Cricetulus griseus: one gene and its partner. The protein of the gene in region 1 binds, or shares a complex with, the protein of each later gene. Links are inferred from orthologs where the notes say so. Each region holds a gene or a part of one and is shown on either strand. Other genes may lie near its edges.

Evidence for each region. Proteins that work in one complex are often made in the same cells at the same time.
Region 2: the proteins of Vegfc (region 1) and Kdr are in contact, whole or in part, in a crystal structure (PDB 2X1W), measured with the Homo sapiens proteins. The link is inferred for Cricetulus griseus from reciprocal best matches to the Homo sapiens genes VEGFC and KDR. Residues at the interface, in NP_005420.1 of Homo sapiens: Thr148, Asn149, Phe151, Lys153, Phe186, Ile188, Val190, Pro191, Leu192, Gln194, Pro196; in NP_002244.1 of Homo sapiens: Val135, Tyr137, Ile215, Val216, Val217, Val218, Asn253, Val254, Gly255, Ile256, Asp257, Phe258, Asn274, Arg275, Asp276, Phe288, Leu289, Ser310, Ser311, Gly312.

The regions. Positions count from the first base shown.
Region 1 is NW_023276807.1:33,449,903-33,461,125, forward strand, and holds the start of Vegfc (vascular endothelial growth factor C), read right to left. Parts: upstream 7,075-11,223; 5' UTR 6,922-7,074; coding exon 6,775-6,921; intron 6,766-6,774; exon of another isoform or gene 1-6,765. UniProt on the Homo sapiens protein: Growth factor active in angiogenesis, and endothelial cell growth, stimulating their proliferation and migration and also has effects on the permeability of blood vessels.
Region 2 is NW_023276807.1:142,439,198-142,449,706, forward strand, and holds part of Kdr (vascular endothelial growth factor receptor 2), read right to left. Parts: intron 9,817-10,509; coding exon 9,723-9,816; intron 7,832-9,722; coding exon 7,635-7,831; intron 4,437-7,634; coding exon 4,306-4,436; intron 4,085-4,305; coding exon 3,916-4,084; intron 3,347-3,915; coding exon 3,207-3,346; intron 2,278-3,206; coding exon 2,100-2,277; intron 759-2,099; coding exon 644-758; intron 563-643; coding exon 399-562; intron 1-398. UniProt on the Homo sapiens protein: Tyrosine-protein kinase that acts as a cell-surface receptor for VEGFA, VEGFC and VEGFD. Plays an essential role in the regulation of angiogenesis, vascular development, vascular permeability, and embryonic hematopoiesis.

The DNA.
Region 1 (11,223 bases):
CCTGTTGTGCATGAAGGCTTAAAGATCTGATGTTGAACCAGATACCCACATAAGCCAGGCACAGCAGAATTCACTTGGAACCCAGAAGAGAGAGGTCCGGACTATGAGATAGGGACCCTTGCCAAATGATGAGCTCTGAATTCAGTGAGAAATGCCATTTCAAAAACAGTACAGACTGAGTCAAAAGGAGACTAAGGCGGACCTCTGGCCTCCATGTATGGGCACACATAAGCAAATACACCTGCACACCCACATGCACGCATATACACAACATTACCATCACCACCAAGGCAAAAGAAAGACTGTTGTTATTCCTGGTTTCTGTCTTATGTTTATCATCCTGAATATAACATGGCAACCATCTACGGAGATGAAGTAGATAACAAGATGACATAAGATCACCAGACTAGAGCAAATCAAAGGATACACAAACATCCTAGGGGTGAGGACCATTATTAATCACTCTTGCTCTCAGTGTTGAAGGAATAGCTGATATCTAGAGGACAGTGTAAATCTGGAGCAGCTAGTGCAAAAGCAGTGCTCGAACTGAAAGAATCAGGCATTCCCCACATGCCAGCCCCCATGACCTCAAAAATACATTTACAGCAGAGCCAAGCATCCAGGTTGCATGCAAGGCAACTATATCTCCCTCTCAAGAGCTATAGCCTCGAAATCTACTATTCCAAGCCTTCCCAAATCAGTGTAGGACAGAAAAAAAAGACTATAGACCTAATGAAGTGACAATGCTGTCAGTAACTAAGTTTCCTGAGTCAGTTCTTATGGTGTGATATTTTAAAAAATGGATATCGACCAGGAAATCATATTTGAGAAGAAATACAAAGAAGTGAAAGCCAAAGAAAGTGAATTGGACCTTTTGTATACAAATCCCTACGTATCAAACATTGTGGGAACATAGTCCAAGAATGGAGTCATATGATATGAGGAGACTGCTGAGTGATTGTGAGAAAACAAGACAAGAGTCTTGTGATCTCAGTTTCCTCAAAAACATAGAATTTTTCTTGGAATGTGTTTCCCTGCTCCTTCCAGGTGTAGTGGATAGGAGTGAGTTTATTTCAGATTACTCATTATAAGCGGCTATTGCATTTGTTTATATGCTTGCATGGAGAACATCTTTTTGCCCTGAGTGGCTTGCCTGCCATGTGCAGCTTGCCCTTGTGATTGTCCACTTCACTCATGTGACTACTCTTAAGCCTCGGAGTATAAATTGTCTGATGCTCTGAATAAAGTTGGCTATTGCATGAGACTTTAGTCTATCTCGTTTATTGGCCCCATTTTCCCAGGTCCCACCACATTCAGAGCAGTAAACACAGCATCATACAGACTAATGGCAAAAACCTGAGAGAAAAATGAGCAAAACAGGGGATTATACTTTACAAAAAAAAAAAAAAAAAAAAAAAAAAGCTGTACGACTGTATGTCTGTCCTTAAAGAGCAGCTGATTCAGAAAAGGTGACAGAAGTCCAATCCTTCCCTCAGAGGACACTTCTGGAAAGTCAAACTCTAAGCCTTTAACAGAAATTGATGTGGGATGGAGTAAGGAGAGTTTAAGAGTGTCTTATTTCTAGTCTTAGAATTCTGGTGTTTCAGAAGTGGGGGAGCTTCCTACTAAAAAGTATAGATAGGAGAACACAGAAACACAGACAAGGCTCCAAATAAATGAAGACACATTACCGCTATATTTCCTGTCTCTTTTACTTAAATAAAATTACTGAATACTGGCTAATATACCATATTTTTAATTTTTCATAGAGATTGCAGTAACAACTGTCCCAAGTTTATTGCATGCCTCAAGTCCTGGCCCAAGACAGTCTCTTCCCTTTAAAGCCAAGCTTCTCAACCTGTGGATTGTGCTGCCTTTGGGGGGCTGCACAGCAGATATCTTGACAAACATTAGCAAAATTACAGTTATGAAATAAAAAGGAAACAATTTTATAATTGAGGGTCATCTCAACAATAGGAACTCTATTAAGGGGACACAGCATTAGGAAGGTTGAGAACCACTGACATAAGGGCTTACTTTGAGGTTTATTTTGCTTTTCCAAATATGTCTTATTCCTACTAGTATCCTAAGTGATCTGTGGAATTATACTGTTACTCATCCTCTTCTATGAAACAGCCTAATTCTACAAATGGAAAACACTATTTTCTTATGACTAAATTACCAAGGCCAGGGCTGATTTCTTCTACACCTTCAACTTTCACAGTTATCAATCTTCTGGGATGACTCCTTCTTCATGTCCCTCTGTGTCTGCCCAGCTGGGGCTGTACATGACACTCCATCTAATGTATTTCTTTTACTTCTTAATTAGATTGCCTCCAAGTAAAAGTCTGTATGACATTTATCCAATCTTATGATTGATTTCAATAGTCTGTGTATCATTTGCTAACTCTTCCCCCATGACTCACAGTGTTAAGTGGAACCCCATAGGCTGAGTGGTGAAAAGAACCTCAGCAGAATTCCAGCTATCTAACCAGACTGGTACTTAGGGGAATTCACTGTTGTCTATATAACACCCCAGCTCCAAACTGTTCTTCTATTTGCCTTCTCATGTCCCTATGCTATCCTAGAAAGCAAGTGTAATTCTGGTGTTGATGAATTCATCTATTAAAAATTCACATCCCAATTACAGCCAAGGCTCCTCTCTGAGATCAAAGATCCCAGATCAAATAGGCAGACAGAGAGTCTCTCCCAAACTTCAGAACATACACAATGTTAATTTCATAATAATAGATTTTATAATAATAGGTAAACTCCATAATAGATAAAAATTTCATAATTTCAATTTTATCACAGACTACAATTTATGTTGTCTTTTTCACCTCAATGGCAAACTACTTAAAGAAAACAACAGCAACAAAGTCTTTCATGATGACTTCTGCCTGACATATTATTTCACAAACTGAACAATGACACGATGACCATGATAAAAACTAATGAACTTAAGGCATCCATATATATTGTGTAATACTTTTATTGAGAATAGAAATGACTTGGGATATTATTTCAAATACGTCTTCCATACCAAAGCCCAGAGATTCATTTGGTGTCAAGTTAAAAGAGAAAACAGAGATGTCTAGGAAATTTCAATTCAGGAACACATATGAAGACATCTAGGGAATTCTATGCAGGCACACATATGGCACTTTGAAGAATACTACCATTGATTTAGGTGACAGAATAAATAACAAACTAAAACACACCAAAGTACACAAATTATTAAAAAGTTGATAAAGAAAATGTGTTCTATTGCAAACCATAACATGTAAAGACCTACATATTTGCATACCTTTTTTCAAGAACAAATTAAGAAAACATGAAATTTTGGAGAGGGAGGCACTGGAAAGATTTGGATGGGCAGAGTGGAGGATGGATATCATCAGCAGAATACATTGTATCCATAATAAAATTCTCAAAGAAAAAATTAAAATACTATAATTAAAAAGTCTGATAGCTACCCAGAAAGACAAACATGAGCAATGCCTTGCTCAGCTATCATTGGAGAATCTTCTTCCTGCAGCAGATGGGAACAAACACAAAGACCTACAGTCACACATTATTCAGAGAGTGAGAAAGCCTGGAACACTTGGCTGGAATTGGAGTCTCCATCAAATCCCTTCCCTCAAGTCTCAGGGAACACTTCAGAAGAGGCAGAAAGAGATTGCAAGAGCCAGAGGGAATGTAGGACACCAAGACCCTTTGGTGTTCTCTAAATCAACATGATCAAAACACAAATGAACTCATAGAGACTGAGGAAGCATGCCAGGGCCTGTATGGGTCTGCACCAGATGGGATTTTAGAGCTGAAAGGAGAAGTGGACACATGGCCCCATCCTAACCAGGAAGAGACAAACTATATTTAAGGGAATATACTGCATGCCCAGCAGAATATGGCTAACGAAAATGAAATCAGTGGCATCTTGGAGGCTCCTGGTCTTATAAAGTCAGGTCTCCCCGGCCCCCCGGCCCCCGCCCCCCCGCCCCCTTTATTAAATTGTATCTGCTTTTTGACCTTCTTTGGGCTCTTCCCTTTCTGTTATTTTTTCTAACTCTGATGAGTTCGTTTTTGTTTAATCTATTATATTTCATTTTATAATCAGCCCATAGAAGCCTTTTTATTTTTTAATGAGAGATAGAAAAAGAGAGTGGAAGGAATTGGCCAGGGGACTAGAATTAGGATATATTATGTGAGAAAAGAATATATTTTCAATAAAAGGAAAAAATTTTGATAGCTATAGTTTGTATGAGGTAAGTCTTACTTCTTTGTGTCATAAGCCAATGTCTTTCTTATAACTAAATTCTTCAGTTCCAACTCACCAGAGTATGGTCTACCAGACTCACCTTGCAAATTATTAGCTATAGCAATAATTTTCTGAACTCAGCAATATCCATTAGTGTGATAACAAGTTTGGAATGTTTCTTTTTATGCCCACAATATCCAGCTGCTTTAGCTTCCTGACACTGGCCTGTTTGGATTAACACCCTTCAGGAAATATTTTAGGACTTTTCATTAAATCACACAACCATTTAAAAAAAAGAAAAGGGAACCTACTAAATTCACTTCCAACTATTTGAGTAGCCTTGGGTGCCACAAGGAGGACTGGATGATGAGCTTGCTTCATAGTTTAACAGCTTTTCTATATTTGTGAATTTTTAAAAAGCAACATGGGTATTTATTAACAAACTTTGTATGAGTTAATACTGAGTATAATGAACAACTTGTTTTTATCTTGTGAAATGCCTTCTTGGGGTTTTAGGAAGCTTACAACTTGTTTCTTCTTGGGTTGAAGCTAACTGAGGTGCTTTGAAAGCCCACTAGGGAGAGACATGGAGTCTTTACACCACAGTTTGGGTCACTGTGCCAGTTTCACAGCAAGGACACAAAAGTTTCAGGAAAGGCATCAGTAAAACAGGCTGCCAAGGGCCTCTTCACCCTCTAGGGAACAGTTGAGCACAGCAAAAGTATGCTGCCCATGAAACTCAAAGATACACAATAAAGTTTCCTCCTACGGATGAAAAAACAAAAACATATCACATACTAAATATCAGATCTCATTCAACATACAGAATTTAAGAGATGGTTAAATACAAAAAAAGAGTTGCAAACAAAATACATAGATTTTCAGAGAAAAGGAGAAATGTAATGACATACCAATGACAGTAGCTTTGAAAATTAAAAATGAGGGATATTTGCCTGCAAGTGTTCACCTTCCTATAACACACACCTGAGCACTTGACATGCACACACACACACACACACACACACACACACACACACACACACACACACACTTATGCTCTGGTACAGTCATGCATGACTGACTCGGTGATGACTGACTATTATATCAACTATTGGCTTATCAGGAAATGTTTCTCCTTTTACTCAATCTTCACACTTTCCTACTGTAAATCAAAGCCAGTTATCACAGGCAGTGGAGATGTTGTCAGAGTAAGTCATACCTACATGTGTTTGAAGAGTCAGGAAGTGAAAGGGACTGGCAAAACTGAAGGGCTCAAATTACAAGTGTTACTGGTTGCATAGCTTTACTCTTGTGGCATTTGGGGACAATGTTTTTCTCATCACTCTAGTTACAGTAATATGGTTAAGCTGGAAGTTGCAATTCTCATAATGACCTACAAATTCTGATAACTTTTTTTCCCAAATGTAAACCAAAAGGTAGTTTGATACTTTAGAAAGTAGTCTTGCCCTTATTAAAGTGTACCTCAGACAAAACCCAGGGAAGGTGATTTGCTCTCTGCACATTTAGTATGTGTTCCCCAATAAAGTCAACTGAAAGTTGAGGGAAGACACCCCTTGCCTTTTTTCACTTGCAGTCAGCTACAATAAACCACTTCAGGCTGGTTCCAGCCAGGGAGGCTTCACAGTGCCGTAAATGCAAAACTTTTTCAGGAGCCCAAAACGTTAAAATGTATAAATATTCTTTAGAAGGTTCCAGTGAGAATAAGGTAAGATAACTTCTTTTGAGAATCAAATGTCTTCAAAAGTGTCTTAGCATGCTTAGGAAAGTTACTCTTTAAAAAATTAAACAAACACATTGACTCTTCAATTTTTACTATGTCATTGCCAGGGTCTACAAACGCAGTTGATAAAGTTGGCGAAAAGTTTCTCTTGCCTATGATTTAAAAGATTCCAATCTCGGTTACAACTTAGATTTGAGCAAGTTCAACTTAATCCTAAAATCTAAAAACCTTCAAGCCCAGTTACTAAATTTACTTCCACTTTTTCCAAACTAGTTCCCAGAGCCTGGGGCTCCTGCTATAAACATTCCAGGAGCAGAGACCTAAGTGTCTAGTCACACACCCCAGAAGCTGTTTGGAGTCCAAAGAACCAGCCAGAGGGGGGGGAAAGGAGAGAGAAAGAGAACATTTCCCTACAGCAATGAAATTCTCTCTGGAGTCATGCCACCAGGGCAGGGTGCAAGCTCCCCTGTTGGCATTAGGAGACCACTCAGAAGTAACATTCTCCATCTGCTTGTGTGTGACCGGGACACCTCTGTGTACCCTTCCCTCCTCTCAGTTGGTTTCCTCTCTAGGAACAGCTTTCCACTGAAAAAGAAGGGCCACTCTGCTCCAAGGAAGCGCGCACCAATCTCTAACTTTGGATCCAAAGGTTAAATAAATAATTATGCACACACTCTCGCCGACAGGTTCTCTGTACACCCAGCAAAACCAAACCCACAGTCCAGGGCTGGGAGCAGCTGATCCACAGCCCAGCCCGGCGGGTCCGCGCACCTACCTTGACCTCGCCCCCGTCGGGCTCCGCTTCCGAGAAGCCCAGTCCGGACTCGAAGGCGGTGGCGGTGGCGGGCGCCTCGTGGGGACCCGGGATCAGCGCAGCGGCGAGTAGGGAACACGCCAGAGCCAAGAAGCCCAGCAAGTGCATGGTGGAAGGACCGGGAGCGGGGAGGCCGGTCCGCTGGCAGGCGCAGGCTGGGGCGCGAGGCTGAGGTCCCCTCTCGTCCCAGTCCCGCGGTTTCCTTCGGGGGAACCCCCTGAGCGAGCGGATCCCGGGGGCTCCGCAGCTCCCAACTTTTGCCCTCGGCTCTGGCAGCCCGCGCCGGGGAGAGGCGCCGGGTGTCAGGTACGAGGCTCACAGGAAACCGGACATCCGAGCTGCCCTCGGTGGCGGCCCGCGAGGTGAAGCGAGGGCGCCGGGGGCCGGCTCCGCCGCCGTCGCCGATCGCGGTTTTGTTTTGGCGTTTTTGCAAAGAAGGGGGGCGGTGGGGGGCTGGTTGGTTGCTTAAGACCAGTCACCCCGAGATGTTCCGCTCGTCCCGAGGAGCCCGCGAGTCCCTCGTCCCCCTCCTCCCTCCCCTCGCCCGAAGTGAAAGGAGCCGGGCCGCAGGAGCCGCGGGAGAGGCGGTGGCGGTGGCGGTGGCGACGGCGGAGCCGGGGGCGGGAGGAGGGCGGCGGGACGCCCGGCGGCGGCGAGGCCGGCGAGCTCCCGGGCGCTCGAGCCTCCTGCGCGCGCGGGGCCGAGCGGTGGTGGCGGCGGCGGCGGGCGCAGGGGCAGGGCATGACTGATGCGCCCTCTGCCTGCGCTTATGTGAGAGAAAGCGGCCGAGGGAGGGAGCGTGCCGAGCCCCGTCTGCCCTCCCCTCTTTTTCCCTCGGAAGCTCGCTCCCTCCAGCCCCACGCTTTGCTCCAGCCCCACCTCCATTCTCTCCTTGCTTTTCCTTTCTCTCCCCTTCTCTCTCTCTCTCTGTACTCTGTTGGGAGGGAGAGGGCAGCCAGAGGCTAAAGTTAAGTCTGGGGACTGGAGCTCTATCCTCAGGACTGAGCTCAACTGCTAAAAAGATAAGAATAGGAGTTTTTGTTTGTTTGTTTGTTTTTTCTTGGGGGGGGGGGAGCTGGCAGCACCTTGAGTTCAAGTCTTAACTCCATGGGTTCTTTGTCCTTAGAGCGTCCACGAAGTTTGAAATCAGCCTGAAAGTTCTAAAAAAAAAAAAAAAAAAAGTTGCAAAAGAAAGTCATCATTATGGCAGAGAGCTTAGGAGCCATGAAGTAAGAAGAGGTGCCCACCACCACCTCAGCTGTTCTCTGTGTAGCTTGAAGTAAGAATGCAGCACATCCCAGAATACAGGGCAGCCAATTGAGAGAGATGCTAGGTTAGTGATCTTCAGAAAGTTCTAAACTTCCAGCAGATGGAGGGATAAGCCAGGGTCTCCAAGGATACTGAAAGACACCCCCACCAAAACAAAAGTTTCTACAAGATATACCTTCAGTTAACAAGGGAAAATCGATAAGAATGGGGCAGTTTATATGCCGAAAAGAGCAATCGGCTGTGATGCCTTTGTCCTTTGGAAAAGCACCTAGGGACTTCCTTATGCTACAAGGGACATCAGTCACTTTCCTCCTTGGAGCTGGTGGGCAGATTGCACAAGTTCCAATTTAGCAGTGCAAAGCATAAAAGATCCTACTTATTTTTCTTAACAAAACAAAACCTGTATTGAGTACACTAACGTTCAAAACTCATCAAATTGTACACTGAGGAAAAACTTCCTTGTGATTTAAATCCTAAAATATGGTTGTCCCCTTATCCAACATTGACAATCACTTACATACCCCTGCAAACAGGGAGCACTCCAAGGTATGGCTGTGCATGTTCCCTTTACTGAACTAACGTTGTTGAAGTTTCCTTCCATCTATCCATTGCTTTTGACTTTGGCATTCTTCAAACTTCATCTAACCTAACTTCCACATGGACTTTCCTCGGATATTTTGGAAATATCTGTCACATTCTCCCAGGGTGAACTTTTCCTACCAGTGAAAAATTCCTTTTTATTTAACCTGACAGTTCCAATTCTCCTCATGCATCATGCTAAGTTTATGTTCACAAAGTACGCTGCTCAGAACATGGCTCCATACTTAAAATACTCCAATGAAGCATGCAAGAAAAGGGTCTCTCTTGTCCAGAGAGTAAGCATTTGTTGACATAGCCTTGGACCAAGTTTATTTTCTGGCAGCCAAATCTGACCCTTGATGCAACAGATGGTTAAAGCTGACCAGATTTCTCAAGAAATCTGAGTGTGTACTGCTACTTAGTCACGTCTGCATGGCTCCACCTTTGTGTCGGGGTTGCTTTCCTGTGCCCTAATGTGTGCTTTGTTATTTAACATGAGGAAGTGCCACCTTGCCACAATCAGCCCATCACAATGTGTGGAGATAACTAGGGATCTTGGCATTGTCAAAATGTTCCCCTCTTTCAGTGTTCCTGTTGTACATGTTTTCAAGGAACTTGTCATGTTTATCGTCATCTCTTAATAAAGTTATGGGAAGAGAAAAGCTAAGGACAGGCTGGATTGTGACTCAAATAGAAATGGAGTGTCCTGATAATCGTGTCCCAGTGCAGTGATCCTCAACTTTCATTGCAGTTGGAATCACAAAGGGTGGTTGTAAAAACAGATGCTTGGGCATACCACCAGAATTTACGGAATTCTGCAGAAAGGCTTGGATGTCAGAATGCCTTTTATAGGCAACCCACAATGAGAACTTCACACATTTCCACAGCCTCAGGGTATATGAATACCATGATAGCGACAAACTCAACATGTATCAAAATATATTAGTGACAGGATTAAAAAAACCTTTCCACAGAATTTTTCCATTTAAATATAGCTATCTTCCTGCTACTGATGCTGTTTGATGGAAATAAAATTCTAGCAAGAGGTATTTAAATAAACTAGTAGTCTTCTAAAACAGTACAGCAAAGCTGGCAGTAAAGCCCAGTGTTAGAATGCTTGCCCACCACACATGAGGCCAAGGGATTAAAAACAGCAGCAGGAGTAGTAGAAGTAATAATAACAATAATAATAATAATAATAATAATAATAATAATAATAAACATACATCTTAAAGAATAAATTTTATAAAGTAATTAAAAAAGAGTTTTTAGGGGCATTTTCCCAATTTAACACCCCAAAAAATATATGAACCATTAACAGATTTTGAAGTTTAAAAAATAATTTTTACTGTTTTTTTGTTTTGATTTATTTTTTACCAGTGACTTCCTCCAAGATCTTTTAAGATCCACTCCTACTTTTATTTCAAATGTGCTTCTAAAAGGGGGGAGGGATTACTCCTTGTTTGTTTGGTTTTGTTTTCCAGAAAGTATTGCTTTGTTAGTAAAGACTGAGAGGAGAGAATTGGGTAACAGTTGGATAATGCCTGTAGTTTGTTGTAGCCATTGACTTTGTAATCTTTTGTGAAGACAGTGGTTGAGGGCAAATAACAGTATGTCGACGTCTGCATCTTATCAGAATTTGTTAGGTTCCTCAGGACCAAATTCTGGCACCTGCCACCTTGAGAGTCCATCAGAGTCAAGTGGTAGTGATCCAAAAAAGCAATTTTAAGTGGGGCCACATGGGAAGATTGTAGGCTCTGTACTAGGGAACTGACAAGAATTTCAAGACGAAGAAAAGCCCAGGACTAGAAATCTAGTCAAGCAGCTTTAACCAAGCTGCTGTGTTCTCATTATTATTTGGCTTGTTTCCCCTTGGAAGGTCTGCTGGTAAGGAGAAAATGGTTACTGCTTGAGAAGCCACCTCATTTTACATTGGTTCCTGTCCACATTGCATGTAAGGTTGGGGATGACCCTAAATTTCTCTTCGGGGTAATGGTTCCCATGTGGGGGTCAGTGTTTGTTCCCATCCCTGAGCACTGAGCAAACTGGCCTGTGAGATTTACTGTTTGGAGATCTTGAAACTATCAGTATTTTTATCCTTGAAAAGGGATGAGAGATTAGATACCTGTAAATCTAATCAACATCCTTGCCAGTTTTTAGATAGTGATCTCTTAAGAGCTTAACACTTCTATGTTTTAGAGTATTCCTTTACACTATGTGAAAATATATCACTGTGATAGGTTTAATAAAATGTTAAATGGCCAATAGCTAGGCAAGATTTTCAGGGCAGAGAGAGGACACTAGGAAAAAGAAGGGCAGAGTCACCAGCCAGACTCAGAGGAAGGAAGAAGCATGACATGTAGGAGATCAGATAGCCTGCCATGAGCCAGGTGGCAGCATGTAAATGAGTAGAAATGGGTGACTTTAATTATAAGAGCTAGTTAGAAACAAGCCTAAGCTATAGGCCGAGCTTTCATAATTAATTAGAAATCTCCATATTGTTTATTTGGGAGCTGGCTGGTGGAACAGAGAAAGACTTGCTATAGTTCTATACAGTACTTC
Region 2 (10,509 bases), about 110 Mb from region 1:
ATTGAGACTGAGCTAACAGATGAGAATCCTAGTCATTGGCCAAGCAGCATTGTACCTAATGCAAGTCTCTCTGCATTAACTGGGGCCCTAACTCAGGCAGGCGGCTGGCATAGAGCGCACAGGTGGCGGTGGGGCTTGGCGGCTTTTGGCAGAAAGATTTATCGTAACACAGCACATTTGCATGACTTATCAAGGAAGCATGACCAGAGTATGCTACCATACCACATCTCATTTCAAATTCACCTCCCTGGGTCATTTTTCATTTTTTATGCATTGACCCAATTAATGATGTGGATGATGCAACAGGACACAAAGGAATGGTGCCTAGGAGATGTAGTAAGATTCATTCTCTCTCTTCCTAGTAAATTTTGGGCAGAGGAGGCATTGAGTGAACTCACCATTTACAACCAGGGAAACCACATGGCTCTGTTTCTCCATTGAAATGGGATTGGTGAGAACGATCGTGTAGTTTCCCGCATCTCGTTCACTCACTTCCATGATTGTGAGTTCATCACCCACTATCATTGTGTAATTGGACTCAATGGGTCTTCCATTTCTGTACCTGTGGAAGACAGTCCCAGGAATTAACACAACAGAGGGATTTTATCTCATGTAGACCAATGTTTTGCTTTTCAGTAGTTACCATTTGATATCAGGAGCTGGGTAACTCAGGTGCTTGACAGGGATTCGGACTTGGCTGCCCACTGTTGCTTCCACCAAAGATTCCATACTGCTATCAAAAGCAATAAAAGGTTTTGCTAGAAGAAAACAAAAGCAATGGTTCTCATGAATGCCAAGTTACTTCAAATGCCTTTTTGGTTTGGAGTTTTAGTCAAGTGAAAAGTTAGATGTTGGGGTACTGCCATTCTGAGAGTCTCCATGCTGTCTATAGCAGCCACATTCCAGCTCCTCTCTAACCTTTGTCAAACTTCTCTCCTCGCTAGTGCTCTCTCATGAGCCTTGAGCTTCCATCCTTCCCCACAGCCTTCTCTAAATCCCTCAGGGACCAGCGGGCACACCTGAACCTCTGCTCCCATAACACCCGCTACCCACATTCTAGGTGTTGGTTGTCCAACACTCCCTCCTCAGACCACTCTCTTTCCCTGCCCCCTCTTCTATCTAGTTTCAGATTTAAAGCATCTGTCACTACAGAAACTTTCAACCCCTGCCCTGACTTCTCTGGGTTCCAAGTTTACATATCAAACATCTCTACCTGTATGTTTAATGGGCATCTCCAAAGGAACTCACTCAACACTATTCTCCAAATGCCATCTTACCCACCCCCCTTCACTTAGTAACACCACTGTTCCTCTGCCTGTGTTAAAGTGAAGGCCATCTCTTTATGTTAAAGCTCAAGCCATAATCACAGCCAACAAATCAACCAGCAAGTCTAGCTGACTATGCCTTCAGAGTAGATCCAAGATCTCATGTCTTCTACTTCCTCCACAGATACCCTAGTCCAAGTCCTCTACCATCTCTCACCTGGATTTGAACAACCAACCCCCTAACTGTTCTTCCTTCTTCTGCCTTTACTTTCTTAAAGCAGTGCAATGGTAGATCACTTGCCTACCATATGCAAGACCCCGACATCACAAAACAAACTATTCCATGTAAGCTTCAAAGTAACCCTGTAAAAGCATAAGCTAGAGCTCTAGCATAAATAAATTATCTAAACTAGACAGCTATGTAAATGAGAGGGCATAACTGAGAATTTGGGTGATTTAGCTAAAGCAACAGAGAAAGCAACTGAATCTGGGTTTCCCCAATTTGAAGGGTTTATGCTTCTTCAAGTAAGCTCTTAGCCTCCCTTACCGAAATCTTTAATATACCATTTCACATACTAGCACTCTACTTCTAATAATAGTTATAACTGCAGAAACGGCTCTAGCAAGCAATACCTAGTGAGCACTTACCATGTGTCATTTCTAAGTTGAGGTTTTGAACACAAGTCCCTGACTCCAAAGTTAAGCTGTTGACCTCTAGGCCTTGTGTCCTCATTAACAAGAACTCAAAAGTATCTTGCAAATGAACAAGGTAAATTTGTGTAAATCATCTCACTCTTTCAGGTACAGTATATTAGCAAGAAAATGGTCACTTACTATGAATTTGGACATACGTGCTGTTTCTCTTGGTCATCCGCCCACTGAACGCTGTGCAGATATATAGCCCTTGGTCATTCCGTGTCACACTGTCGATTATCAAGGTGCTCAAAAATTTCTTCATCACAGTCCCAGGAAGGGGTTTCAGGTCCCTGTTTATAACCTTCTTATGCTGATGCTGAGAAACAAAAAGATTGTAGTGAATGTTCACAGCCCAGCAGAACACTAACCATCCAATAGCTCCTAGAGACCCACAGATTCAGGTCCTGTCCCTCGATGCACACTATTATTAATAACTGAGGCTTTAAATGCCACACTGGCAATATATACATTGGGATTCAGTAGAATTGAGTGAATGTTGAAATACGTGGGACTAAGGTAGAACTTTGAAGACTTCTTTAGCTAATGGGAATGAGATGTGTGTGGAGTATAGATACAAATACAACGGTTTAAAGAGAAATGTAACCCAGATCACCTCTTAAAGGGAAAAACAGATCAAGGGCTTTAGAGAACAGAGAAATAATGCAATGTTTAGGGAGAAAACATGATTAGAGGTAATGCTGACCACGCCAGCTTGGGGCTGGACAGAGGTGTTGCTGACCACGACTGCTTGGGTGTGGTCAGAGTGATGTGGGAAAGGTTTAAGTAGCTAGGGGTGCAGTGCAGGGTCCCTCTCGAACTCCCTGCTGCCTGGCTAGGTAGACTTGCGTGCGTACCTCTCCTAAATAAACTACCATTATAAATCTTGCATCTGACTCCACATTGTGTTCTCCAATAGCAATGTCAAAAGATTAATAACCTAGCAGAGATGAATATGCACAGGTCCTGGCAAGGTATCTTTCATGGTTGCTATATATTCTGCCATACTCCTATATTAAAGTGTGGGTACACTGGGGTATCTGTGTGTGTGTGTGTGTGTGTGTGTGTGTGTGTGTGAGAGAGAGAGAGAGAGAGAGAGAGAGAGAGAGAGAGAGAGAGAGAGAGAGAGCATGTTTTAAAGCCTTTATAATTTATCTGACCAGAGGGAACCCTTTATCTCTCACGCAAACTTCATTAGGGCTTATTATCAAAGTATTCAGAGACCTGGCTCTGAGCTGTTTTCATTACCTTCAAAGAAGGGATCTCCCACTTGATATCAAGCCCCACGTTGAGCTCAGTTCTTGCTGTACAATTTAAGACAAGCTTCTCTCCTGCAGATAGCTGGATTCTATGAGGGGGGCTCAGGGTCACATCATAAATCCTGTATCCTGGAGCAAGTAAATGATAAAAACAGAAAGTAAGACGGAAAAGACATCCAGGAGTTGGCACACATCTTTTAAAGTGGTACAAAGTGTGTGACATCACTTCTCTTGGGGGGACTCACTGCTTCTTGATGGCTTTTAGGAAAAAAGGTTTATAGTGATTTACAAATCACTATCTTCAGCGTTTTCGAAAATGTTGTAACCTGGTGAATAATAAAATCTAGGCTAACAGGGCCCACTTGAGTAAATAGCTGAACTTTCCATAAAATAGATACAATTAAGAGAACTGGTGCCAAGCAGTGATCTGAATATTGCATTTTTCATAACCTGAGCGCCTGTGGTTTTTCATTCTTGGTCTTGGCAAGAAAAGAGGAACACTCCCTGCCCCACCCATTGCAATGGTTTGTCTGGTAGAGAAGAACATCTATAAGGAATTGACCAGCCCCATATCCTGAGCTAGTATCTTTTCCCACACCCCTTGCTCTTCACTCTACACCTTCTCTCCAGGATCTTCATGTAGAAAGCCACTCTTCATTAGATGGTATTAATGGCACAGAAAGGAAACACCCACTTACCTACAACCACAACTATGTACATGATAGACTGGTAGGTTTCATCATTGATCTTTGCCTCGCAGAAGACCATGCCTGCATAGCTGATCATGTAACTGGGGATAGTAAAGCCTTTCTCACTGTCCCAGGAGATTCTGTTTCCATCCGGAACAAACCTCTTTTCTGGATATCTCTAGATAACAACAAAGAAACAGTATTTAACCCAGTGCTGTTGGAACTTGATGACTTCTGAAAGGCTTCAAGAATGTAAGTTGGTTTTGTTTATTGTGTTGCTGACTCTCCCTAAGGGCTTTGCAGTTCACTATTGACATGCTATTGGAAGCAGGAAGTGCATATGCAAAGAGGCTTACAGCCCTGGAAAGATGGGAAGTGACTAGAAAATAGGCAACTCACTGCACAGAGTGACACATTGAGGCTTGAAATTGACCCTAGGCACGGAATCACCACAGTTTTGTTCTTGTTCTCGGTGATGTACACAATGTCATGCTGATCACTCACAGAGGCGATGAATGGTGACCTGTAATCTGGAAGAAAAGTGAAGTTTCCAGTGAGTTATTAGAAGGACAGTTGGTATTCTTAGGTCCATGAACCATAACTGAACGAGTGAATGATTGGCATTGACAACTTGCATGAGCAAAGATGCCCATAGGTTAGTCTGGCTCCAAAGTTATGGCCAAGGAAGGGGAGAAAAGCATATATACACACATACAGACACACACACACACACACACACACACACACACACACACAGAGAGAGAGAGAGAGAGAGAGAGAGAGAGAGAGAGAGAGAGAGAGAAGTAATCTGAATGGAAACTCCAAAAATGAGCTTAACTTCTCTACATGGAACATTAAAAAGTAGAATCTATTTTAGAAATGCCATGCTTTAATAGGTTATTATAATTTTTTTATAAAATAAGCATTTTAAATTTAAATCCATACATTGAAACTATGAGTTTTACAATGCTAAATATTCATTTCTTTCAGTAGGCAAATAATATAAATGACCTGAAAAGAAAATGAAAATTTTAAACAAAGGTGCACAATAATTAGATGATTCAGTGATTCAAAAAGAATGATTTCAATAATACCTTAAGACTGTGAGCACTGAAAATAAGACTCTTTATGCAATAATGTTTAATAGCCACTACATCCAGTTCAAGATTTAAAACTTATTAATATATCTCTGACAATGAATATTTGGAAAGCCATAATGCCAAAAGATTGAGCCAAAAGCCAGAGTCATTTTGATATCCTTCAGAGAGTATTCACACAGCATTAATACATGGCTGGGAATTTACTCCATTCCCCAGAGACAGAGGACATGGTCTGGAGTCACCACTTGAAATCTCAGAGATAACATCAACATCCCAGCTCCGACCCCCCACCCACTCCCACATGCATCTGACCAAGCCTTTCCAGAGGTGAAGAAAGAGTTAATGAAGCCAAAGGGAAGAAGAGTAGCTAATTCCTTTCAACAGCAAAAATCTGATTTCCTCCCCAGCTGGAAAGCATAGAAATGCAGCTAGCTTCGCCCCCCACATGCCATAGCCATTATCTTATGAGGCCAACGCCAGCTTCCTGGCTCTATCCACTGCTAGTTGGGTCAGAGGACGGAGGAAGTGAGGTGGGGACCAGAGGGGGACATTAAGGACCTACCCATAGGGAATAATACATTCAAAGCTTTCTTTCCTGTTGTTAAACTTCATGATCAAATAGAATGCTAAGCTGAGGCGGAAACAGAATTTCATGGTGTATCCAAAGGCACCAAGTATACTGGCAAATAGTGCTAGAGACCACCGCTTGTTGCTATTGCACATGTTAATGGACTATTACACGATGTGCTTCATTCAGAGTCTGGAGAAGTCAAATTAACCTCTTGACTTAAGACTAAAGTTATTTGGTAAATGGGTTCTATTTCAGTAGCCCTAAAGGGGAAGTAAACAAAGGAGCATTAAACAACCACGTATCCTCTCAAAATAAAATATTTACTGTAACTCAAGAAATGAATTTTACATGTCTCCAGGTTTCCTGACTTGGGGAGAAGGAAGTAACGAGATATTGTGGGAGAGGCTCATCTTGTAGCATTTCCAGACAGGCTGAGAGCAGGAAATCCTTGCAATCTTCTGAGAGAGCCACATCTCCCAAGACTGCCAGATCAAAAGGAGCCAGACATTCCCCAAGGTCTGTCTCCCTCAGCTCTGCAGAGTGAGGAGGAAGGCACAGAACTCCATCTTAGACTTTGCTTACCCTGGGCAAAAAGAATGCCCCCAGGGCACCATAGGACATTAGGACAGTCTTCCATAGACTGTCCTTACTGAAGGACAGGTCACATCTTATGGACGGTCATATCTGCAAGAGTGCTGTCCTGATGAAGAGCCTTTCTATCTGGTAATAGTTAATTCTAGAAAAAAAATTTCAAAGTCATTTTCACGGGTCTCAAATCCTCTGAGATGTAAGGTTAGATACAGATGAATAAATAAAATAGGGAGTCTGCAACCCAGACTTGGAGAGATGGTCCAGCTGTTAGGAGCACTGGCTGCTCCTGCTGAGCATGTACATTCAATTCCCATCACCCAAGGTGGCTCAGAGCCTTCTGTAACTCCAGTTCCAGTGGGGGTCTAATGCCCTCTTCTGACCTCCACAGATAGCAGGCGTGCACACAGTACACATGCAAAACTTGCATTCACAAAAATGAAAACAAATAAATCTTTATATATAATGAAACCTTGACATTCCTGAGAAGTGCATAATATTACAGGTGTCTCATAAGTGAAGATGGGTTTATTGCAAGAAAAGGTGGTGTGCAGTTTTTAAAATACAAAAGAGATCATAATTCATGCTCTAGAAATCGAATACATGTTGCCTTGTAGTCTTTATTATAAAGATGTTAAGTTGCATGCCTTGCTTACAGTGCTAAAGTAACCCTTTCACATGAGACAAAAGCTAAGCTAATCCTTTAATGTAAAATGAAAGGTCTTCTGTAAATCAGTCCTAAATCATTAGCCCTCAAAGGTGAAGTATGCAAAGGAAGCTCACACAGCTACCATCCCCTCAAAATAAAATACTCGCTCTAACTATGAAGCGACCTTTCATGTCTCTAGGCTGCATCTTCCTGGAGTCGATGGCAAACTTGAAGCCCTCTCAGAGCACACAAGCAAAGACAGGACATGCAGTCCTCCACGGCTTCTTTGGAGATGGTGTTGTGCTTTGCACATGGGTATGTGGATTTTTTTTTAATAAAGTGTGAGTCTGGAAAGGAAAAATCTTATGGGGGAGGGGGAAAAACACAACCTCCAGAGTCCTTGGCTATTTCGCTATGCATTCCTGCAAAAACCTCCTCCCTGCTACAGATAACCTATCTCACCACAGAAACCTCTCTATAATCCACTTCCAATCTCCCTCCATTTCTAAGATCTCAGGGTCTCAAACAAGAGAAGGCATTTTATGAGTCCCTATAGCCCATGACAGGTCACAGAGAATCTCAGAGCACCACACAGAAGGGACTAGGACTGACCTATCTAAAGAAGACAAATGCAGCTCAGACCAAAGCCCAGACAGTCAGTGAGTCCTTTCTTAAAAGAAGTCTGGGAGGGAGATTTTTATATTCTTTTTGGCAAACAGCCTTTCCATCAAGACTCCTGTTGGACTTAACTTTTCTTGTGCCTGTTGCTTTTTAGACCTAGTAAGTGGATGTGGGAAGTACATTCTTGTCCACTGCTTACCTTGAACATGGACATAAATGACGGAGGACATGTCGACATCCCAATAGAAGCACTTGTAGGCTCCGGTATCATTTGCCACCACTTTTGGAATTGTGAGTGTCTTGCAGAAGACGCTGTCACTGCACTCAGTCACCGACACCCTTTCCTCAGAACCATGATGATTGTTGGGCCAAAGCCAACCCAGGTCCCTCTGTCCCCTGAAAAAAGTATTCCAGGAAGGTATTAATGTGACACCCCATGGCATGAGGCTCTGAATAAGAGAACGGAAGGTATGGTTCTCATGAGCATATAAAATGCTCAACAGACACTTCAAAGTTGATAGACACTGATGACAGTCTGCATGGACATGCCACCAAAGATCACACACTCTATTTCAGAAATCACCCATGGGGTCATGTGTTTTCTGTTAGTTCACAATTCATTCTTTCAGTATGAACTGAAAGAATGTTTTTTTAAGTATATATAATTGCTGACCATTATTAAGGACAAAAACTAATGCTTTAAGGGACCAAAGATATGATGCTCAGTGCTAGAGCACTTTCCCAGTGTACACCAAGAAGAAATAAATCAGTGCCTTTATGGAAGCTCACTCTAACTAGGGGAGAGACAACTAGGACATACAAGTCATTGTATAAAAGGTGTTAATTTAGTGCTATGAAGAGAAACATAAAAGAAGCAACAAACAGGCCCTATGCACATGATGAGGAACAGCATTTCAAGTAGGAACGGTAAATGTGAAGGACAGAGACCAGTGCACATCTGGAGTGTTGGGGAAACAGCAGGGAAGCCAGAATCATCATGTAGGTGTGAGGGAGGAAGAAGAGAGGGCACCGAGAGAAGAGGGCCCTGGTACCTCCTTGAAAGGGTAAAGTTAAATAGACAATACTTTTATTGCTTCATTTCTCCACAAAGCAAATGGAAGGTAGTCAATATGAATAAAACAATGTGGCCCACTGAGCCTTCATTCAAAGAGCTTGAAACTCCCATGACATCACAGTATTGACTGTGCCTGTTCTCTCCAGGGTTTGCTCAGAACACAAGAAATGTTTCTGAAGTCTCCTTTAAAGGGAGGGGGACCTTTGCAGATCTCAAGTGACCTTTGTGTCTGAGACTAGGTAGAAGGGAAAGTCTCTGGAAACGCCATGACTTACGAAGATAAACAGCTCCTGCTATGGCTTTCTGTTTTTGTTCCCCCCCCCCCTCCAAAGGCTGGGTATTGAAGACTTTGCAGACCTTAGATAAGAGGCCTAGTGTCTCTCCACATGCAACAATCTAAAACAGACCTGAGTTATGCTGTGGACCACTTGGTATTCTTCAAATAGGATGCAAAGGCCACAAGCTGCCAGGACTCTTTGTGGCACCAGCACTCAAAACCACACTGATTTACAGAGACCTCTGAGTCATTCATGAATGAGTGCCATATCCACCTATACCTCCTCTAGGTTTCCTTTCTTGACTCTTGGTTGAAAAGCAAAATTCAAAGGCCTCCTCTTGTCTAAGAGTTCTGTTTCCCTGCTTATCCAGCATCAGTAGCGTGGCTACTTGCGGGCAAGAGGGAAAGAGGGCCTGAATATCAAGCCAGAGTATGCAGTTCATGTTTTGAGCAGGACATATGGTCAGGAATATTGTTGGCTAGAGATTAAGTTGCTACTACAGACAGAATTTCATTTGTAGAACACAGTTCTTATAAAGGGCTAAAAAGATGTTCACAAGTCATTCGAACTGACATGAACATGGCTCAGACTTCCACTCTATTTCACAAGGATAAGCCCTTAACTTTACTGATTCATCAATAGTCATGAATGTCTATCACATGTCAGTTTTTGGCACGCATGTACATGTGTGCATGGTTGTGCAAATGCATATGTGAGTATGCATTTGTACGTGTTGAAAAGGCCCGTCAAAACAGTACAAAAGTTTGAAGAGACCTTTCTCATTGTTTCGTTATTGCATGAGTTCTTAGAAGCCTCATGACTTATAAACAATTACAACAATACTATTATAATTCTGCAGTAATGGAAATGTTGTGACCTCAGTAAACAATGAGTCCTTGCACACAGGAAATCTGAATCTAAAACGAACCCTTACCTGCAAGTAATCTGAAGGGTTGTATTGGCCAAAATTGTAAGTACATCTTTTTGTGTGCTGAGCTTGGGTGGATGGAGGGAATCATCTGGCAAACCTAGAAAGAAATTAGACAAGAGTCGGACCCCATAGGAAACACCTTCCATCAGCAATGCATACTCCAAGTTTTAAAAGACCTCTTCAGCAATTCATCGTACAAAAGTGGAATCTGCTTTGCCCCATTCCCAGTAAAAGTTCACAAGCTCTGTCATAACAGGAAGAATGGGCAGATGGTCACAAACCAACACAACAGTTCTGCAATTCACAGTGCTAGGGTGGAGTTCCTGTTTTCCTGCACTGCCAACTTCAAGGTCTTACAAAAGGATATGGGACATCGAAACCCGGTGAGCCACCATCTGATGATCTCAGGCCCTTGGGAAAGCATAGGATGTACACATCTGACTAAATTGCTGATTAATGAAAACTCCCTAGAGAGATCTCTATACAGCTCATCTCCATACCTCCCCCCAAAAAAGGGGCAGGAGCTACTGTGACCTTTGTCCCATTGTCTTTTATCAGGCAGTATAGCAGATTTCCTTTGGTAATCAAGCTGCGGTAGTGGCTCATAAAGACAGGGCGTTTAGATGAAGGAAAATGAATTGAGGAAGAGTAAAAATCTCTCAAGTTCATGCATACATGCATATTAATATACTTTTCCTCTGAGCAAAACTTAAAATAGTGTAACTCTAATGAGCTACAATGGGGGGTTCTCAACTGATTAATTAATCAAAGCTCTGAGCTCATCTAGACA